Linked DNA regions of Nothobranchius furzeri. The protein of the gene in region 3 interacts with the protein of the main gene of each other region in a biochemical or structural test. Links are inferred from orthologs where the notes say so. Each region holds a gene or a part of one and is shown on either strand. Other genes may lie near its edges. The genes, in order: sntb1, sntb2, dgkzb and snta1.

The links.
Region 1: the proteins of dgkzb (region 3) and sntb1 form a complex in vitro, tested with the Homo sapiens proteins (2 studies listed by BioGRID and IntAct, with this or other methods). The link is inferred for Nothobranchius furzeri from reciprocal best matches to the Homo sapiens genes DGKZ and SNTB1.
Region 2: the proteins of dgkzb (region 3) and sntb2 form a complex in vitro, tested with the Homo sapiens proteins (2 studies listed by BioGRID and IntAct, with this or other methods). The link is inferred for Nothobranchius furzeri from reciprocal best matches to the Homo sapiens genes DGKZ and SNTB2.
Region 4: the proteins of dgkzb (region 3) and snta1 form a complex in vitro, tested with the Homo sapiens proteins (2 studies listed by BioGRID and IntAct, with this or other methods). The link is inferred for Nothobranchius furzeri from reciprocal best matches to the Homo sapiens genes DGKZ and SNTA1.

Annotation. Positions count from the first base shown.
Region 1 is NC_091745.1:41,748,297-41,753,648, reverse strand, and holds part of sntb1 (beta-1-syntrophin), read left to right. Parts: intron 1-2,948; coding exon 2,949-3,085; intron 3,086-3,173; coding exon 3,174-3,370; intron 3,371-5,352. UniProt on the Homo sapiens protein: Adapter protein that binds to and probably organizes the subcellular localization of a variety of membrane proteins. May link various receptors to the actin cytoskeleton and the dystrophin glycoprotein complex.
Region 2 is NC_091744.1:86,308,955-86,314,365, forward strand, and holds the start of sntb2 (beta-2-syntrophin), read left to right. Parts: upstream 1-2,271; 5' UTR 2,272-2,414; coding exon 2,415-3,111; intron 3,112-5,411. UniProt on the Homo sapiens protein: Adapter protein that binds to and probably organizes the subcellular localization of a variety of membrane proteins. May link various receptors to the actin cytoskeleton and the dystrophin glycoprotein complex.
Region 3 is NC_091744.1:80,269,388-80,275,267, forward strand, and holds the start of dgkzb (diacylglycerol kinase zeta), read left to right. Parts: upstream 1-2,067; 5' UTR 2,068-2,149; coding exon 2,150-3,093; intron 3,094-4,767; coding exon 4,768-4,867; intron 4,868-5,880. UniProt on the Homo sapiens protein: Diacylglycerol kinase that converts diacylglycerol/DAG into phosphatidic acid/phosphatidate/PA and regulates the respective levels of these two bioactive lipids.
Region 4 is NC_091743.1:60,426,982-60,432,250, forward strand, and holds part of snta1 (alpha-1-syntrophin), read left to right. Parts: intron 1-77; coding exon 78-208; intron 209-551; coding exon 552-748; intron 749-3,747; coding exon 3,748-3,935; intron 3,936-5,269. UniProt on the Homo sapiens protein: Adapter protein that binds to and probably organizes the subcellular localization of a variety of membrane proteins. May link various receptors to the actin cytoskeleton and the extracellular matrix via the dystrophin glycoprotein complex.

The DNA.
Region 1 (5,352 bases), on a different chromosome or scaffold from region 3:
AAGCCTTTTATTGTTTATAATATTGATGATTTTGGCATACAGCTCATGAAAACCCAAAATTCCTATCTCAAAAAATTAGCATATTTCATCCAACCAATAAAAGAAAAGTGTTTATAATACAAAAAAATGTCGACCTTCAAATAATTATGTTCAGTTATGCACTCAATACTTGGTCGGGAATCCTTTTGCAGAAATGACTGCTTCAATGCGGCGTGGCATGGAGGCAATCAGCCTGTGGCACTGCTGAGGTGTTATGGAGGCCCAGGATGCTTCGATAGCGGCCTTAAGCTCATCCAGAGTGTTGGGTCTTGCGTCTCTCAACTTTCTCTTCACAATATCCCACAGATTCTCTACGGGGTTCAGGTCAGGAAAGTTGGCAGGCCAGTTGAGCGCAGTAACACCATGGTCAGTAAACCATTTAGCAGTGGCTTTGGCACTGTGAGCAGGTGCCAGGTCGTGCTGAAAAATGAAATCTTCATCTCCATAAAGCTTTTCAGCAGATGGAAGCATCTCCTGATAGCTAGCTGCACTGACCCTGCCCTTGATAAAACACAGTGGACCAACACCAGCAGCTGACGTGGCACCCCAGACCATCACTGACTGTGGGTACTTGACACTGGACTTCAGGCATTTTGGCATTTCCCTCTGCCCAGTCTTCCTCCAGACTCTGGCACCTTGATTTCTGAATGACATGCAAAATTTGCTTTCATCTGAAAAAAGTACTTTGGACCACTGAGCAACAGTCCAGTGCTGCTTCTCTGTAGCCCAGGTCAGGCGCTTCTGACGCTGTTTCTCGTGGCTTGACCTGGGGAATGCGGCACCTGTAGCCCATTTCCTGCATACTCCTGTACACTGTGGCTCCGGGGTCCACAGCATCACATGCGGTGTGCCTCAGGGTTCAATTCTAGGCCCAGTGCTTTTTAACCTCTATACAGTGGGGCAACAAAGTATTTAGTCAGCCACCGATTGTGCAAGTTGTCCCACTTAAAATGATGACAGAGGTCAGTAATTTTCATCATAGGTACACTTCAACTGTGAGAGACAGAATGTGAAAAAAAATCTATGAATTCAAATGGCAGGATTTTTAAAGAATTTATTTGTAAATCAGGGTGGAAAATAAGTATTTGGTCAATAACAAAAATTCAACTCAATACTTTGTAACATAACCTTTGTTGGCAACAACAGAGGTCAATGAAACGCTCTCCATTGGTAATAGGTATGATCATGGGCTCCCTTAAGACTTAAAATAGGGCAGCTAAGTAACTGTATAATATCTTTAATAAAATATTGTGTTCTTTTTTCAAGATTTAAAATAAACATTACTTTTAGTCACATTATTGCATCTTCTTATATTTTCACATATTTGTGTTGATTTTAAATGTATTTAGTGGCTTAAATTCTCTAATGTCAGTCTTATTTAGATACAGCATGCATGATCTGTGTTTAGCTATTTCTTTTCATTGACTGAGTTACAAGTGCAGCATATTTTAAAACCTTTTGCAAACTGCAGCAAATGAAGGACTTTTCAAATCCGGCTGTTTTAGAGAAATAGCTAATTTTATCATATAATTTACAGTTCAGTCCATGTCAGCTGTGTGCCTTAAAGAATTTGTATTTTTGGATTCAACATTGTTTTTTTATTGTGTAAATAGGGGAAATAATCCATGCTTGTATATGTGCATGTGTGGTTGCATCATGGGTTGCATGCTTCACACAAGCAAGCACAGACAGATAGAGCTTCACTCCTTTGTACATAATAAAACACCTGTGCAAACACACACACACACACACACACACACACACACACACACACACACACCTATATCTGTTTAATTTAGTCCTCACGCATTTGCCGATACTTTATCCTCCAAATGCGGTACAATACTGTTACTTAGCAACATATCCTCGTTATGTTAAAACGATGACCCTTAACCTTCTGAATCTCAGAGTGTGATTGGTTGAGGCAGAACTTCAAAGAGCAGCTTAGGATTCCAGATAAGCTCTCATTATGAGAATACTTCTGCAGCATTGTCACATAAAAAAACGCATGAATGTGCCTCTTTTTGTGTGTGTTTACACGTGTGTGTGTGTGTGTGTGTGTGTGTGTGTGTGTGTGTGTGTGTGTGTGTGTGCGCGCGCCCGCGTGTGTGTGTGTAAGTGGTACGCTTGTAGGTGAGTGAGTGAGGGGGCACAGCACAGCAGATGCATAAGTATAACTGCATCTGAACACCTTCCTTTTTAGCTCATTCCCTTTTGGATACACAATAGTGAATTTAAATACATGTTTTGGTGGAACCGACACACATTTTGCACACCAAACACACACACACACACACACACACACACACACACACACACACACACATCACCAGCCCTCTCTCTGATTTAAGTGTTTGTGAAAAAATATAAAAGAGCGTACTTCAGACTGTGCTGCAGGAAAGTAATCAAATTCAAAACAAGTGACCTGCCAGGATAAATTGTTTGGTTAATCTCTCGGCATTGCTTTGTCATGTGTTTGGTTATAATTATTCATTTGTCGAGGACCTTTCAAGTGTTTTTGTCTTTGTTAGGCCTCTATGCTCAAATTTGATTTGCAAATGGGAAGAAATGTCTCTCCCCTGTGAATTTTGTAATGACTATTAAAGTAACAGTTACATACGCACGCACGCACACACACACACACACGCTAGGAGTTCTGTAACCACTTTAATAAAGTGAAACAGTAACCCATTTAAGCAAACAGGAGGCTTTCTACAGGCTTTGGCAAGTTTTGTTTCATCTCACTATCCAGTGAACTAATCTGTTAATAAAACCACTGACCAGAAGAAAGAGCATTTTATTTATTTGTTTATTTCAGTTTTCATTTGAATCAAAGCCCTTCATTACTCAGCAGATGGGAGGATGGGAGCAGCTGTTCCCTCCTCATTGTTGATCTGTTTGTGTCGCAGACGGAGAGTGAGAAACAGAGCTGGAAGCCGGTGCTGGTGGTGGTGACGGAGAAAGACCTGTTGCTGTACGACAGCTTACCGAGAGGAAAAGAGGCCTGGCAGAGCCCGGCACACACCTTTCCACTTTTAGCCACACGGTGAGTCCAAAACAAAAAAAGCTGATTATGTGTGCTGAAAAATGTTTTCCTGCTTCTCCTCATCAAATGTGTGAATGGATGAATGTAGCCTTGTCCACTCCGGGCCTGACCGGGGTTCACCTCACTCCGGCACGGAGCTGTTCTTCGCCACTCGGACCGGCACACGACTTGGCATTGAAAGTCACCTTTTCCGAGCTGAGACCACCAAGGATCTGTCCCTTTGGACCAGGCACATAGTCAACGGATGCCACTCATCAGCTGAGATGATCAAAGAAGTCACAACAAGTGAGTCTCGAGACAATCGTTGTTCAGGTTCATCAAAACGGATGTTTTTAATATTGCTTCAGATGCACAGAAGCAGAAAAGCTCACAGGGATTTGCACCAGGTCACTTTGCTGGATTGAGCTACGCCTCCTATAAGCGCGTTCCAGCTTTCAGTGACATAAACCATCCGGGGAGATTTGAGGCCACAGCGCTAAGCACTGCCTTAGGTCAAGAAATCCTAAATCTACAATATAAAGCATCATGCTTACATACAGACTCCCACATCCCGGGAGACGGAGCGGGGTTTGAGATATAATGTGACAGCCAAATGGAGGATGCAGACAAAGCACTTACTATTTATAGGAAAGAATGATATTTAAGCATCAGCTCGTGCTGTTTGGTACAGAGTATTGGTCGTTTAGAGAATTGCGGCAAAATATCCCCACTCTTCCCTCGTGGCCGGCCTCATTCAGCACGGACCGTCCTGGGAAATGTTTTTCCTCCCCTGGGTCCCTCCTCCTTTGTGGAAAAGTCGGGTTCACCTCAGATTCTTCTATCTGGGAGGCAGCATGCGTCACAGCTTTACCTTTTTGTTGTCTGTTTAGTTTCTCTATCATTCATCATCTAACTCCTGGTCAACTTTGCACCGATTCAGGTGAAAAATGCATTCTCTAATTAGCGTGATGGAGTTTTGTGAACTTCTGCAAATTTTAACTCAAAACAAACTTCTGCAGCTTGGTGGTTGTGTATGACATTTGACTCTGGTGGCTGAAAGCCTGTCAAGGCTGGTAAGTATCTAGCAGCAGCAGCAGCAGTAATAGTAGTAGTAGTAGTAGTAGTAGTACCATTGGTGTGAGTAGTTAAGAACCATTCCATAACAACTTTATAGCACTAAAGCACCTGAAGGACCAAAGTGCTGTACACAGAACAATAAAAACAACAGAATCAACAATAAAACCAGAACCTAGAATAAAAAAACAGCAAGAAAGTAAAAACGATAAACTGAGCAGAATCAAATAGGGTTGAAAACAAACAAATAAAATGCAGTTAAAGCCGACATCTCGGATGGTGTCAAAACCAGAGAGATGAGGTGGGTCTTCAGCAGTGGTTTATCAGACATTTAAGAGGCCTGTCGGATATTTAAAGGAAGGTCTTTCCACAATCTAGGAGCTGCTGCAGCAAAAGCTCAATCTCGTCTAAGCTGGTGCTTCGTCTTTGGGACAGTCAGGAGCAGCTGATCAGCTGGCCTGAGGGAACGGGAGGAGATATATGGGTGTAGACGCTTAAGTAAGGTATGGTGGGGAAATGAGGAGATTTAAAAGCACATAAAATAATTTTTAAATGAATCCTAAAAGGAATTAGTGCAAAGAATACAGAACAAAGGAGATGTGATCAAGCTTCCCTGTTCTGGTTAAGAGGTGGGCAGCAGCATGTTGTACTCTCCGAAGCTGAGAGATGCAGGTGTCACTTAGTCCTACATGAAGACCATAGCATTAGTGCAGCCGAGTCGTAACAAAGGCGTGGAATAATCCTGGGACAGGATTGGCTTTGCCAGCTTCTTTAAATGTAAAAATCTAGATTTAACAAGCGATCTGATGTGGTTGTTGAGCGGAAACACTTCTTCTACTCCCGTTTGTGTTCATTCCGCGTGTCATTCCTATTGGAGATACGCTATCTCAGCTCCCGGGTAAATGAAAACATCTGTGAGCATTCGCAGGACTTTTATGTCAAGCTTCTGCAGAATTCTCTCTGTTTTTTTTTTTTTTTTTGTGCCAAACTGTGTTGGAGCATGCTGTGAACACAACCCTCAGATAGGACTATGGTGGTACTGGATTGTGGAGGATTTGAACATGTTGATGATGTTACAAAGCAGAGAGATTAGAGTCTATGGGAGACATTGTTTCATGTGTACAGCTGTGGAGCACTAGTTTAATCGATGCATTTGCAGTAGGAATGAATGTCGTACTCGGGTGGGAAAATAAGCTGAGGAAGTGCCTGTGTCA
Region 2 (5,411 bases), about 6.0 Mb from region 3:
ACAATCTGTTTGCTTCTGACAGAATGAAAAAGAAATAATTCACTCACAGCAGCAGCTGGAACTACATTCATCATCTGACGGACAAAAGAAAAAACAGTGGCCAAAACTGCAGTCTAGATGCACCAGAATGCAGAGTTTAACACTTATTTTTCTAATATTTCTAAGGAAGCATTTATTTTATTCATAAACCGTGCTGCCCAGCTCTACTTGTTATGGGATTAAATACATTCAACTGTGTTCACTTATTATCACACCCAAGTCTTCCTCTCATCAGCAACCTAAAACCATCTCACTCTTCACTGTAGCACCTCAGCAGGTCTGGCTCTCCCTGTCTCACCCTCAGCAGGACTGGCTCTGCCTGTCTCACCCTCAGCAGGACTGGCTCTGCCTGTCTCACCCTCAGCAGGACTGGCTCTCCCTGTCTCACCCTCAGCAGGACTGGCTCTGCCTGTCTCACCCTCAGCAGGACTGGCTCTGCCTGTCTCACCCTCAGCAGGACTGGCTCTCCCTGTCTCACCCTCAGCAGGTATGGCTCTCCCTGTCTCACCCTCAGCAGGACTGGCTCTGCCTGTCTCACCCTCAGCAGGACTGGCTCTGCCTGTCTCACCCTCAGCAGGTATGGCTCTCTCTGTCTCACCCTCAGCAGGTATGGCTCTCCCTGTCTCACCCTCAGCAGGTATGGCTCTCCCTGTCTCACCCTCAGCAGGACTGGCCCTGCCTGTCTCACCCTCAGCAGGCCTGGCCCTGCCTGTCTCACCCTCAGGAGGTTCCTGCTGAACTTCCTCTGATCTCTAGTACAAAAACAGTGGACATTACTGTTGGAGGACTAGTGCAACATTAAAATCATGGTTGTTATAGTGTTATTTAGTCGTGTTCACTTGTTATCATGCTCGAATCTTCCTCTCATCATCAACCATCTAAAATCTCACTCTTCATTGTAGCACCTACCTGCACCTCAGCAGGTCTGGTGCTCCCTGTCTCACCCTCAGCAGGTATGGCTCTCCCTGTCTCACCCTCAGCAGGTATGGCTCTCCCTGTCTCACCCTCAGCAGGTATGGCTCTCCCTGTCTCACCCTCAGCAGGTCTGGTGCTCCCTGTCTCACCCTCAGCAGGTATGACTCTCCCTGTCTCACCCTCAGCAGGTATGGCTCTCCCTGTCTCACCCTCAGCAGGTATGGCTCTCCCCGTCTCACCCTCAGCAGGACTGGCGCTGCCTGTCTCACCCTCAGCAGGTATGGCTCTGCCTGTCTCACCCTCAGCAGGTCTGGCACTGCCTGTCTCACCTTCTTCATCATTTTGCTGCTGAACTTCCTCTGGTCTCTCATATGAAAAAAGTGACATGAATAAGGTTTAAAAATAAAATGTGATGAGAATGTCACAAACAAGCAACAATCACATTTACAAACTCCATTTTTATGTGGAGATTCTACTTTATTTATTTCGTGTCAAATGGTTTTTGTCTGTTACTGTAAAATCGTGTTAAATTCGCCATTTTTTGTTGACTAGTAGTGTTGTTTAACGTTTAATGCTGCCTAGCAAGATGTTTACGTTAGTCAGCCAGTCTAACGTTTGACCAGAAATACAATTATCCTCTTGGACTAAATTATTACCGAGTCACAATTCCTTTCTTTCTCTTATTGCCCATGAGAAGAAGCTGTTGTCGTCCAGGTCCCGCTCCTGTCTAACTCCCTGAGGGGAGGGGCTGTGTCAGTGAGAAGTCTGCAGCGTCTTTCAAAATAAAAGCTCACGAGTCAAATATTTCAAAATCAATTTTTTTCTTCTCCGTGTTATTGGGGGGGACAAATGCGCGTTTGTCCAATATTGGAGGGGACACGTCCCCCCCACCCCCCACCCCCGGTTCCTACGCCCTTGATGCATTCCGTATATTAGTAATTGCGTTTATAAACCATTAGCAAAACAATTTATTCTAAATAAAATATTCTTGCTCATATTACACCTATTACACACAGGACCACAAATCATGATAACACACACACACACACACACACACACACACACACACACACACACACACACACACACACACACACACACACACACACATCGAGAGTGTAATATGGGCTACATTGTTTTATTTTGAAAGGCCTAAACGGATGTGTCTTTGTTGTAGCTATGCTAGCTTTCCGGTGAGGTTGGACAGCTTTACGGAATCGGATTGAACTCCTCAGCAAGACCTCCGAGGCTGCCCCGTAGCAGCCGCTTCTCCTCCTCCCCCTGTTTTGTGGGAGTCCCGTGTTTCTCCCCCCTCTCTCCCTCTCCTCGGCGGGAGTGGGTGTGTCGATGCGAGCCAGTGCTGCCGCTTGTGCGCACTCACAAAAAAAGAGAGGAAAAAGTTGACGATGAGTTTAGAGTAGCGGCGGCCCGCCTCGGAGCAGGCTAACGACAGTCCAGGAATGGCAATTTGGACCAGAGCGGATAAAAATGGTCAGCTGGACCTTCTGCTTCGGGACCGCTGGATCCGAGTGGCTGCAGAACTCACACGGGAGACGCTGACTCTAACAGCCGAATCGGAGGTGACCGGACAGGCGGGCAACCACTGGGACTGCTCTTCGGCTGGCCTGCGAAATGGCATGTCGAACGGAAATGATCCGGGAACGAGTGTGGGGATCCCTGGCCGCCGTTCGTCCTCAGGTCAAGACCAGCTTCAGAACCACGGGGTGCGAGGGCGCAGTAGCAGCCCGGGTCGAGGAGGCGTCAACCGCGGCCAGTACAGCCCTGGAAAGTACCCGATTAACGGCACAAACTCTGACTTCGGAAGCCCCGGCTCTAGTTACGGTAGTCCAGGGTCAAGCTTTGGGTCGAGACAAGGCGATTTCCCGGTCAGCCTGGACGGGTCCTCCGAAGCTGTGCGTAAAGTCCGAGTAGTTAAACAAGAGTCTGGCGGGCTGGGGATCAGTATCAAAGGGGGGCGCGAGAACCGGATGCCCATCCTCATCTCCAAGATCTTCCCTGGACTCGCTGCAGACCAGAGCCGGGCTCTCCGGGTGGGCGACGCAATCCTGTCGGTGAACGGGACCGAGCTCCGGGAGGCAACGCATGACATGGCGGTCCAGGCGCTCAAGAAGGCGGGGAAAGAGGTGACGCTGGAGGGTGAGTTGGCCAACGCGAGAGCGCGGTTTTGAAAAGGCCTCCAGAGGTCCGACTGCACACCTATCCCTGTCACATCCATGCGCTGGCATCAGTGTCACTTCAGTTACTCTTTAAACACTAAAGGTATGCCTCAAATAACAATTCAGCTACAAACTATAATAAAATATTCCAAACTCAACAAGTTACCAGTGTGACGTAAGTCAGCTGATCCTTCATGAATAGCTGTCACACACGTTCATCTCGTTTGCAGCTTCCCAAAGCCAGGCGTGTTTGCTTTACACGTTAGAATTCAGACCCAAACAAACACGGTCTGTGTTGATCTATGAGCAGCAGAAGTGAGCTTAAATCAAATCAAATCAACACAAAGCCTTTGGTTGGTGTAAACACGAGTGCAACCAGAGTTGTGGTCAGGACCAGATACATTTCACTCTGGATGTTTGAACGACGGGCTTGTTGGAGATAAGAGGCCGCAGCAAACGTGACCAGATGAGATTTGTTTTTGTGTAAATGCACCAAAAAGCCCATAAAATAATAAAGGGCTTCTCTGTTTTTACGTTTTATCTTTGACATCAATGATTGTAATCTCATTTCTGATTGGCTGTGGATGATTCTATTTATGGCCAAATACATTTTAAACTCGCAAAGAAAATATAATCTGGCTTACCGAATGATATTCATCAGGTAAATACACAAATAACTAATGGAAAGTTGGGGGTTTTCTGGAGATATTCTGAGAAATAAAGATGTGTTTAATAGAAATGGACATTAGTCAAACTTCCATCCGTGTGCATTTTGAAAGTGCACATAACATTTTAGGTAAATGCTCGTCACGTGTGCAAAAAAAAAGTTGCTGAACGTGTCCTTATTCTGATTTAGTTTCATTAAAGCGGGTTTGTTTCGCTTTAGTAAAAACTACAACTGCTACTTTGTTGAATCCAGTCCTTCATCTTGGCCTTCTGGCATGAAGCAAGCAGTCTTGTTGATTTGCTTAAAATGAAAGTTCCCTAAATTACACTTTATTTTAACTCATTCGCTGCCAGCGTTTCTCACCGTTTTTACTGTTTTTTTAAGAGTGACAGAACGTTGCGCGCTAGGATGATGTCGACGCCAAAACAACCAAAACAAAGCAGAGACTCACCTCTTACATCAGGAAGAATCCGCGCGTTTCGAGCGTTTTCCGTTCTTTCGTAATCCGTTGTTGAATTGTGATCGGCAGAAGCTTTTCCGGTTCGCGCCTCACTTTTTTTACAGCAGCGTAGGGTTGTCACGATACTAAAATTTCAAACTCGATTCGATACTGGAAAAAAAACTCGATACTCGATTTTGATACTATTTAAAAACACCAATTTATTGAACACGTTTATTCAAAAAATAACATTCCTCAATTTATATTGCAAAAATTAAATGTTAAGAATTAAGTGTGTAAAGTGCTTAAACCTTTCAAGTATCAGCATTTTTTAAAACGTGCATACAAAAACACTTTAAATCATGAATTGTCTCACTATATAGACACTATTTGCAGAGTGATGTTTTGCTGCTTAAACTCTGTTTAAGGTGCATTTTTGTTATAAGATGTAATGCCATATGTTTTGTTCTGTACTTTTGAACAACTCTGTTGGTCAATAAAGGGAGAAAACGAATTTCTCCACAGTAGGACAAAGGTACATCTACCGGTAATCTTAATAAAAACAGATTGGCGAGCGGCAGTGACGTCATTAAAAGCGCCGGTTAGATTAGCCGCAGCTAGTCTGTTCACGCCTAGAAATCCCAGACCAGACCCGCTCCAAACGAACAGGGGAATCACGTTAATGATTCCTAACAAAACCTTTCGACATGAAGATGTCTTGGTGCAGATAATGTCTTATTTCGAGGCTGCACATGGGTGCCCATCCGCACCCGTTATATGGATATACGCTGACGGCGATTCGGCGATGGATCTAAATACCCCGGGGAATCCAAGCAGCACCAAAGTTGTCAGCGTGAGTAAACAAACGTACTGCATGCTAGAAATTAAGTCCGGGTTGCAATAAACGGGAGTTTCCTTTAAGCACATAAGCGTGAATATACAACTACGTGTCGGACTTGGTATGCTAATTAAGTTGGGCTGTGAAGCGCCTCCCAAATTCGCTGTTTATGTTTTTGTTTATTTATTTGGCAGACAAAACTTGGATCGGAGACAACTCGCGTGGGAAATTGCAATGTAGCCATGCGGCGTCTTCTTCTGTTTGTCTGGGAGGCGGAGGCTGCTTTACGGCATCTGGCTGTGGTGCGTGTCGGTGTACTTGAAGAAGGCTGTGTAT
Region 3 (5,880 bases):
AAGACCACAACCGAGAGGATAATGGCAATGGAACAGTCAGAACAGGAACCATCTTCAGGAGGACCAGGTTCCAGTGGGCTGAGCAGGTCCAAGCAGATGGACTTCCTGCTGGTTTCAGATCTCTAGCAGTTTGGGGGTTGGAACCTGAAACAGGTCTGGGATTGTCCTGGAAACCTTGATGGTTTCAGTTTGAGAGGATGGTCTCCATGGCGATGCTCAGATAGACAACATAATCAGACAAGTTCTGGACCAGGCTGAGCTGAGTGGGTTCGGAGTCTGGTAGGAACAAAGGTGTCCAGCAGAAGACAAAGATGAGTCAGAAAACGGCGTCCTGTCCCCATCTCTGGGTAATTGGATCCATAATGCAGCAGCTGATGGCCCTTGATGTGTTAATGAGGAGGTTCTGTTCATCAGAGCGGGTCCATTCATCTCAGGCCCTGGTGCTGAAGTGATCTGGGAAGAGAGAGAGAGGCCCTGGTGCTGAAGTGATCTGGGAAGGGAAGGGAGAGAGAGAGAGAGAGAGAGAGAGAGAGAGAGAGAGAGAGAGAGAGAGAGAGAGAGAGAGAGAGAGAGAGAGAGAGAGCCTCAGTGAGGATTTACCTTTCATCTCTACGACATCGCTGCTTCAGGTTGTATTCAGCTGAGATTCTGTTGTCGTTGTTGTTGTTGCTTTAAATTCAATCACAAACCTTTATTTAATCTGTTAGTTTCACACAGAACCAACTTTTATTTTTTGAGTCTGGATGAATGTTTGTCAGAAATCAGCTTGCGTTGCTGCTGAGTAGAGAGGCTTCCTACTCAGAACCGCGAATAGAGCAAAACCGGGCCTTGGGGTGACTTTTGGGCCGGTTTAGAAATCAGACGACAAACTCAAGAAAAGTTTATTCAAATTCTAAAATATTGGAGACAGCAGAAGTTTACGTGTGTGTGTGTGTGTGTGTGTGTGTGTGTGTGTGTGTGTGTGTGTGTGAGCATGAGTGTGTGTGCATGCATGTATGTGGGTGTGAATCTGAATGTGTGTGTGTGTGTGCTTGTGTGTGTGTGCATGCATGCGTGTGGGTGTGAATCTGAATGTGTGTGTGTGTGTGTCTTGCCCAAGGACACAGTGCCTGACACCCTGGGTTTGAACCAGCAACCCACTGATGACAGAGTGAAGACCTATAACAGTTGTCTCCCTAAAGCCTGGGTAATCCTCTAAACTAGTTCTGCTCCAGAACCACCTGAGACCGGGTCCAGCACACCTGGGTTGTTCTGGGAGGTCTGGTTGTGTTCTGTAAGGTGTTAAAGCAGAACGTAAACAGGAAGTGAACAGCTTGTTCTCCTGGTTTTTCATGAATTGTAAAGTTTCTTGAAAAAATCCTGAACAGATCCGGGTCAGAACCGGGACTGAGTCACCTGCCGAAAATTAAGTAGACATGTGAGTTGGGTTCTAAATCCATCTGACAGCTGACACGGTGTTGGAAGGCAGCAGGTGTCTGAGTACTGTTGTTGTTGCTGGTCGATGACCGCTTCCTGTTGTCACAGTGCTTCTGCTGCCACACTTCCTGTTGGCGATCAATAATTCATGTTGCCTTGGTCCTAGCAGCTTAAACGAATCAGATGTCACGGTACCAGAAGACGGTCCTCACTCCGTCACAAGAGACAAACCCACCAATGGTTCTGAGAGCCAGAAGTTCTGTTTCCTAAATGGGTTCTCGCCTGCAGGAAGTGGGAAAGCAGAAATGGGTTCAGTCCAACCCAGTGTGTGAGTTCTGCTGTTTAAACCCAGAGAGTGGTTCTGGTGGTCCACGTATCCAGCTGGTTCTGGTCTCAGCTCTGGTGACTTCCTCAGAGGTTCTGATGGAAGTGTGTGTGTGTGTGTGTGTGTGTGTGTGTGTGTGTGTGTGTGTGTGTGTGTGTGTGTGTGTGTGTGTGTGTGTGTGTGTGTGTGTGTGACAGAAAAACCTACAATGGTCACTGAAATAACCTGAATTTGACAAAAGTTCTAATAAAATTTCAGCCGCTCTTCAATGGAATTATATAAAAAAAACTCGTACTTGTAAAACTGAGCTTGTGACCTTTGAACCTTTTAGGCTAACGGATTTCTGCTCCAACAGCACAGAAGAACCTTCCACAGTCCGGGTCGTTTGGATTTGCCTCTGAAACCAACATGGAAACGTTTTTCTGTCGTCACTTTAAGAGGAAGGAAGCAGCGCTGCAGGGGGAGATGGACGCCCCCACCCGCCGCCAGCGGAGGCCCAGCGTTGCTGTCCCTACCAGCAAGGCTCGTCGGAGGTCCAGCGCTGGTCTTCCTTCCTCTGCTTTGACCCAGCGGCGCCGCTCTAGCATCCAGATTCATCCAGGGCTTCCCTGTGCTGGCGGCGGTGACCTGGCGACAACGCCTCATCACGGCAGGGTGAGACCTGTCCGCAGGCGCTCCAGCACCACCACCCCCTCCCTGAACCCGAGGTTTGCTGTGCAGCGCAGGAAGGTGAGGAAGCTGCAGACCATCGACACCCATCTGCTGGGTCCGTCCATGCTGCTCGCCAGCCTGATCCGGATGGCTGAGGAGGAGGAGGGTGAAGGTGCGCTGGGGCCGGGGTTATCGACTGGAGAGCAGCAAGTGGAAGTTAGAGGCGGGGCTAATAATGAGGGATCATTTTCATGCTCCAGCAGCCTCCTATACGACAGAGGTGAAGACAGTGACAATTACTCCCCCAACAGCAGCCAATCGGAAAGCAGCCAGCTGTCTGAGGCAGAGCAACTGCCAGAAGAAGAGACTGACTCTTCCCGATTCCTTGCCTATCCAGCCTCCATCCCCTCCTCCGTCTGCTCCTTGCAGGTGCTAAGGAACCCGCCCCAGGTTGTCTCTCAGTCACGGCCCCTGCTCCGGGCCCCTCGCTGCCTCCGCAGGAACTCCTCCTGCCATCAAGCCTCCAGTCAGATGAAGAGGAGGAAGATCTCCACCATCTCCAAAGCCGGGAGCCCATGGCCAGGGAGGGGCCGCAAGCACTCTGTGTACTACCTCCATCATCCAGCCTTCTACAGGGGCCATGGGGCCCTCAGCCCCCTGGGGGCCCATGGCTATGAAACCAGCTTGAGTGCTCTCCTGCTGTATGTAGTCCCACTGCTGCTCGTCTCACTCAGTCCACGGGTCAGAACATGTGGTTCTGGTTCTAATGAAGCATCAGCAGGGTGTCATCGTCTGAAAAATAACCATAAAACACACGAAGGTTCTTTACATGTTCCCTTTAAACAATCAGGCTCCGCCTACTGTTCCACATCTAGAAACAGATTTTGATTGGATGTTCAGGCTTAGAGGATGAAAGTTGATTTTTTTCAATTTGAATTAAAGAAAGAACAAAACGTAAATTTGTTTTAACGTCAAAATTTATTAATATTTTTTCATGATTATCTTCATAATCATTTATATAATAGTCATTTCTTTGTTATGACAATTATTATAAATAACTTAATATTCTTTTCATTATTATATTTTTTATTTATAATATTATTGTCATGACTTTATTATTATTTTTATTGTCATTATTTTATTATTATTAATCATTTCATTTATTCATTTATGGAGCACCTTCCACGACCTTTAGCAGACGCCCAAGGTGCCGAGCACAACAGTACAAAGCAATCGAAAAATAAACACAACCAAAAGATTAGCCTCTGTCGGTGCGCCCCAAGGCAGCTGTGGCTACATCGTAGCTCATCACCATCAGTGTGTGAATGGATGAATGATACACTGTACGGTAAAGCGCTTTGGAGTCCTTACTCTGAGAGGCGCTATACAAGTGTGGGTCATTTATCATTTACAAATAAATAAAAACAGTAAAAACGGCATAAAAACAGGTAAAACACAACAATTAAAACCAAGACAAAATTACAGAGCCTAGTGGTGAAAATGCCTGGACATAATAATGGGCCTTCAGACGTGGCTTTAAACATCTGAAAGGAAGGTGCCAGCCTAACAGTCAAAGGTAGACTGTTCCACAAAGTTGCAGCAAGGACTGCAAAAGCACGATCTCCCCTCGACTTGCATCTGGATTGAGGGACCACCAATAATACGTGGTCACCAGAGAGAAGAGAGCGGGTGGGAACGAGCCTTTGCAGAAGTGCTGATAAACTCTGGTCCTCTGCGTCTGAGTCAGGTGTCTGACTAGCTGAGCTATCCATTTGACATTTGAATGTTAATACTCTTCAGAACCCGATGGAGCAGAGCGGAGTTTGTGCTCCACCCACTGGGGTTGTGACATCACCCTGTTAGTTTTAGGCTGCTTTTTTTCCATCTTCTGCTGATTCACAGCGGTTTGAATGCAGAAATACTCAGAAATACAATTTTGAGCTTAAATTTCTTTAGATGTGACCTGTAGCATAAGAAAAATGTCTCAAGAATATGTCAAAAACACGATTTCGTAAGCGTGGGTCTTTTAAATATGATCTCGTGTTTTCTTCATACCACAAACTCAGCTTATCCATATCAACACGTTTGAATTTTCCTCGTTTATTTTGTGCAAAATCATCTAAAAAGGATCAAAACTAAAGACCTTTAGATAAAACATCAGATTATTTAATAAAAAAAACTTAAACTCTCAAACTTTAAATTTGAATAAGAACAAAGCTGCAGGTTTTAATCATGGAAGCAGATTCATTTAGTTATGAACAAACTCTAAAGCCAAACTGGACCGCTTACATTTAACCTGATTGTTTTGTGTTAAATTAGATTTTTTACAATAACTGACAGAATTAAATGTTTAAGATGTTTTTTTCTCTTTGCAGGAAAGCGATCACCAAGTCGAGTCTTCAGAACATTCAGCCCAACATGTCTACATTGGGACAGACGGACCTGCTGCAGCCCAACAGTAACATCGACTGGACTGTAAGTAACCAGCAGAAGTTACAGACGTTTTCCCAGCAGAGTTCTATAAAGAATTCTGGATCATTCTGGCTCCAACATTCTTCAGAATGGTGAGGGAAATCTGAGAGAGCGGCAGATTACAGCCAAACATGAATTCAGCCAATATTAGTCTTGTTAAAACCAGGCAAAGACCCTGCATTTCCTTCCATTTATCGCCCAATTTCCCATATTAATATTGATCTCAAAATAATTTGTAAAGCCCTGGCAAAAAGATTAGAGAGGGTAACCCCTTTCATAAAACACCCTGACCAAACTGGTTTCATTAAGGGTAGACAGTCATCCACAAACTCACGTAGATTACTTAATTTGATAGATTTCTCTTGCAGTAGAAACATAGAAACTAGTATATTATCTCTAGATGCAGAAAAGGCTTTTGATGGGGTTAACTGGAAGGTCTTATTTGCAACTTTACATAAATTTGGTTTAGGAACTTCTTCATAAACTGGCTACAAACATTATACAGTTCGCCAACTGCATGTGTCAGGACAAACGACCAAATATCAGCTAGCTTCTGTCTTCAGCGGGGGACCAGGCAGGGATGCCCACTCTCCCCCTCACAGTTTGCTATATTTATCAAACCACTAGCAGCAGCAATCAGCCAAACAACAGGTATTAATGGCATAAAGTGTAAGAACATAGACCATAAAATCAATCTTTATGCAGATGATGTTACTTTTTCTCCAGAATTCTCAGTCCTCTCTCTCAAGCAATAGAACTGATAAACTCTTTTTCAACAGTTTCAGATTACTCTATAAACTAGTTAAAATCAACAGTTCTACCATTCAAGTTCTCTTTTGTCAATTTGCTTAATACACAATTGGAGTCAGGGAATATCACATACCTGGGAATGAATGTCTCTCCCAAGTTGGCAGATCTAACCAAACTAAACTACATCCCACTTTTAAAGAAAGTGGAAGATGATCTTGCAAGAGGGAAATCCTTACCGATATCACTCATGGGGAGGGTTGCTACAA
Region 4 (5,269 bases), on a different chromosome or scaffold from region 3:
TGTGTGTGTGTGTGTGTGTGTGTGTGTGTGTGTGTGTGTGTGTGTGTGTGTGTGTGTGTGTGTGTGTGTGTGTGCAGGTGTCTCATGGTCCAGAGAGACCTGTTCTGGCTGTGTTGACAGAGAAGGACCTGCTCCTGTATCCAGCCTTTCCTGAAAGCAAAGAGATTATGATCAATCCCACCAAGAGACACCCACTCATCACCACCAGGTCCACACACACACATACCAGTCTCACCTACACACACACGCCCATGTTTTTATAGCAGATCTGTTTCCGCCTATAAGCATTTAAATTTTTTCCACTGGTTGGTTTTGGCCATAGGGTTCGTGCTCACACTTTCCATAACTGTAATCCTGAACATTTTGTCCAACAGCATCATCATCATTTGGAAAACGTTAATGTTAGCAGAACCTATGAGTCATGTATATTTTCCCTTCTATCTCTCAGTTTCACATTTTCCACCTCTAAACAGTTTTCTTCATCTCTAATCCCTAATTATTGTCTCTCTCTCAACCACAGTCTGGTGATATTTTCTTCTTTCTTCCTAAAGGTTGGTCCACTCCGGCCCAGGAAAAAGTTCTCCTCTTTTGGACTCTGAGCTGTCGTTCGGTCTGCGTTCGGGCACCAAGCAGGGCGTGGAGACGCACGTGTTCAGAGTGGGTTCTGCTAAGGAGCTGTCCACCTGGACTCATCTGCTGGTGGAGGGTTGCCACAACGCTGCTGAGCTCATCAAGGAGGTCACTGCAGGTGAACAGATCCGGTCAGAAATAGGTCTCTCTGCATTCATGCTCGGATTGCTCCCCCTAACTAATATAGGTCCAACGCAGGGGTCTACAACCTGCGGCTCTGGAACCACGAGTGGCTCTCTGGACCTTCCACTACGCCTCTTAATAACTTTGACAAAAAAATGATAAAAAAAGGAAATAAAAATCGTCGTCGTCTTCCTCCGCCTATCCGGGTCCGGGTCGCGGGGGCAGCATCCCAACTAGGGAGCCCCAGACCGTCCTCTCCCCTACCACCTCCACCAGTGGCAGGACCCCAAGGCGTTCCCGGACCAGATTGGAGATGTAACCTCTCCAACATGTCCTGGGTCGACCCGGGGGCCTCCTGCCGTCAGGACATGCCCGAAACACCTCCCCAGGGAGGCATCCAGGAGGCATCCTGATCAGATGCCCAAATCACCTCAACTGACTCCTTTTGATCCGGAGGAGCAGCGGTTCTACTCCCGAGTCCCTCCCGAATGTCCGAGCTCCTCACCCTATCTCTAAGGCTGAGCCCGGCCACCCTACGGAGGAAACTCATTTCGGCCGCTTGTATCCGCGATCTCGTTCTTTCGGTCATTACCCAAAGCTCATGACCATAGGTGAGGATTGGGACGTAGATCGACCGGTATATCGAGAGCCTGGCTTTCTGGCTCAGCTCCCTCTTTACCACGACAGATCGGGTCAGCGTTCGCATCACTGCAGATGCTGAACCAATCCGCCTGTTGATCTCCCGATCCCTCCTACCCTCACTCGTGAACAAGACCCCAAGATACTTAAACTCCTCCACTTGAGGTAGGACCTCTCCCCCGACCCGGAGTTGGCAAGCCACCCTTTTCCGGTCGAGAACCATGGTCTCAGATTTGGAGGTGCTGATCCTCATCCCAGCCGCTTCACACTCGGCCATGAACCTACCCAGCAAGAGCTGAAGGACAGAGCTGGATGAAGCTAGGAGGACCACATCATCCGCAAAAAGCAGAGAAAAGATTCTCCTGCCACCAAACTCGACACACTCCACACCACGGCTGCGCCTAGAAATTCTGTCCATAAAGGTAATGAACAGAACCGGTGACAAAGGCAGCCCTGGCGGAGTCCAACCCTCACCGAGAAGAGGTCCGACTTACTACCGGCTATGCGGACCAAACTCACGCTCCTCTGGTAAAGGGAACGAATGGCCCTTAACAGAAAGCCACCCACCCCATACTCCTGGAGCGTCCCCCACAGGGTGCCCCTGGGGACACGGTCATTAGCCTTCTCCAAATCCACAAAGCACATGTGGATTGGTTGGGCAAACTCCCATGCCCCCTCCATCACCCTTGCAAGGGTATAGAGCTGGTCCACAGTTCCACGGCCAGGACGAAAACCACATTGCTCCTCCTCTATCTGAGATTCAACTATCGATCGGACCCTCCTCTCCAGTACCTTGGAGTAGACCTTTCCAGGGAGGCTGACGAGTGTGATCCCCCTATAGTTGGAACACACCCTCTGGTCACCCTTCTTAAAGATGGGGACCACCACCCCGGTCTGCCACTCCACAGGAACTGCCCCCGATGACCACGCAATGTTGCAGAGACGTGTCAACCACGACAGCCCTACAGCATCCATAGCCTTGAGATACCCAGGACGAACCTCATCCGCCCCCGGGCTCCTCCGCTGTGTAGTTGTTTGACTACCTCAGCAACTTCTGCCCCAGAGATTGGACAGTCCATCCCCACTCCCCCGGCTCTGGCTCCTCCTCGGAATGCGTGTAGGTGGGATTGAGGAGCTTATCAAAGTTTTCCTTCCACCGCCCAACTAGTCTGTAGTCGGAAATAAAAATAAAATACTTTATTTGTCTGATATCAAAAAAGTTAAAGAAATGTGTAATCAACAGGGCTGTACCACACTGATGGTTTAAAAAAACTGGTTTTCGCTTTTTTCATGGAAAATTGCACTGAATTACTACAATGGAATGACAAAAAGACCAGTAGTTTTTTCAGGATAGAACTATTTATTTTTAAAGAATGACAAAAGTTCTCGAGAGGAGCCAGTTTAGTTGCATATGATTAGGATGTCTCCTGGATGCCTTTTTTGGTGAGGTGTTTGAAGCACATCCAACCGGGAGGAGACCTAAAGGAAGACCCAGGACATGCTGGAGGAGGAAGAAGAAGAAAATATCATTTCTATAGCGCCTCTCAAGATAAAAATCACGAGGCGCTCAGGAGGGACTATGTCTCTCAGCTGGCCAGGGAGCGCCTTAGGATTCCCCTGGGGGAGCTGGCCCAGGTGGCTGGGGAGAGGGAAATCTGGGCCTCTCTGCTTAGGCTGCTGCCCCCGTGACCCGACTCCAGAGAAGTGGACAGAAATGGATGGAGGGGCAAAAACTTCCCTGTAGTAGATTTTAAGAGAAGAGGATGAGGGCTACTCAAAAAGGTACAATTCTGATGATAATGTCAGCATTCTAACTTTGTTTTTAGTGTTTGTTTTCCAGTGGCCCTATATCTCTTGCGTAGATTTTTATCAAACGGTTTTCTCTTTGCAAAAGATCCTATAACAGTTGTGGTTCTAAACGAGTTATGTTTTGGTTGACTGAGGGGGAATGGGCTCTTTGGATTGTGAAGGTTTCAGTTCCTGGTCTAACCCACAGAACAAAATGATTTAAAGAAAATTCAAGTCCCATCCAAACATATTTGCCTGTTTGTACTGAACAGCTCTGCAGCACAGTTATTCGGACCTATTAGAGGTGCAGCGGTCAACCTACATAGCCTGGCAGCAATGTTGTTTTACTGCCACCTGCTGGTATTATTAGGCAACACAAGCACTTTTTACACTAACTGGTTTGACTTTGGTGTGGTGGAGGTTTTGATTCAAAAGCATTTGAAACTTTCTTGCAATAGAAATGAATTAGAATTTTTAGCATGATAAAATAAAACATAGAAGTGATTTGGAACATGTTGAATACTTGTTGAACTTTTATAAAACTGCTGTCTTTGCTCTCCACTGCAGACTGCAGCTGGAACGGAAAGGACTGCACTCTGGGAGTCCACATCAATGACGGTTTCACGCTATTCACAGAAGAAATGGGTGTCAGGAAGAATATTCTCCTCCAGCAGCCCTTCGAGCGCCTCCGAATGTCCTCGGATGATGGAGTTCGGATGATGTTCCTGGACTTTGGAGGCCCTGAGGCTGAGATTGTGAGCTGCCTCTTCTTGAATTTCATTAACATTATAATAGTGCAGTTAAAGCACGAAGAGTGAGATGCTAGACTGGAAATGTCAAACCTGAGAGGAGGATTGTGACTGGAGACAATCTGCTAAACTGATTTACACAGACACAGTGCATGTCGGGAAAAAATGAGTGTGAACCGTTGAGACGTGGTGATAGTGTCGCTAATATTTCATCATTTGTCGTGTTCAGTAATTAACTTTGTAGTACTCCATGTAGAGGTGTTAGCATTGCTAATGGAGTCAATAGAAGGTGCTAAAATCCACAGCACGGTGATTCTTAGACATGTAGAAAACCCTATAATAGCCAGTGGCTCGAGTCCTCTGACTGTTTAAAAAAATAAAATTAGCAAAAATAAAAGACCAAACACAAATGTTAAAGATGCAGCTCAATTTTAATTGGCTGCAGTGATACTAGAACCCTTAAATTTCCATCATACAGGTTTGTTAGTACAATTAAAAGCCAGTGGAAATAAACTGGTTTTAAGAGATTTGAAATGGTCAGTTTGAGATTATGAGGCGTGTAACTAGCAATCACAGACTTGCATTAATTTCTGTTTGAGTCCATGTTATGAGACAAATGATGTTGTTTACACCGAATCAGCCAAAGCCTGCTCTTCTCTAAACAGTGAACAACATAGTGATGCAGTGCAGTGGTTCACAACCTTTTTTACACCAGGAGCCCCTTGCCTGGGTGTTTAATCTTGTTAACCTCACAGACAAAATTATGGGGACCCCAGCAATCTTATGAAACCCCCATTAGGAAGTAGGGTTGTCACGGTGTGAAAATTTAATCTCACTGTTATTGTGACCAAAATTATCACGGTTTTCGGTATTATCGCAGTATTTTTTTAAATGCGTTACATTTTCAGACAATTAAATAAACCATATATCAGGAAAATTTTGTCCTCAGTTTGTGTCTAAATGTTGTCAAAAATTTGTTATTTTGTAATTATGTTGTTTGTTTACATTTTTCCTCTTTAGTCTTTAAAATACCAATATTTGCCCATAACTTCTTATTTTTTGTCTGTTTGATGTCATCATTTTAAAAATATTAGATCAGATGATACTCAGTACTCAAGTGGCCTTCTAATCAGATACTTTTTTACCCTTACTTGAGTAATAAACCCTATAACAGGAAAATATTGTCCTCGGCTTGAGTCCTTCCAGTGAGATTTGCAGATTTGGGAAAATGTCATCAGGCAGTAATCATTGTTAAATTCATAATTATTCTCGGAGAGAGACCAACTCTCATCTGCCCCTGGGAGCCTCATAATGCATAGCGTCATTTCAATATGGCGGTG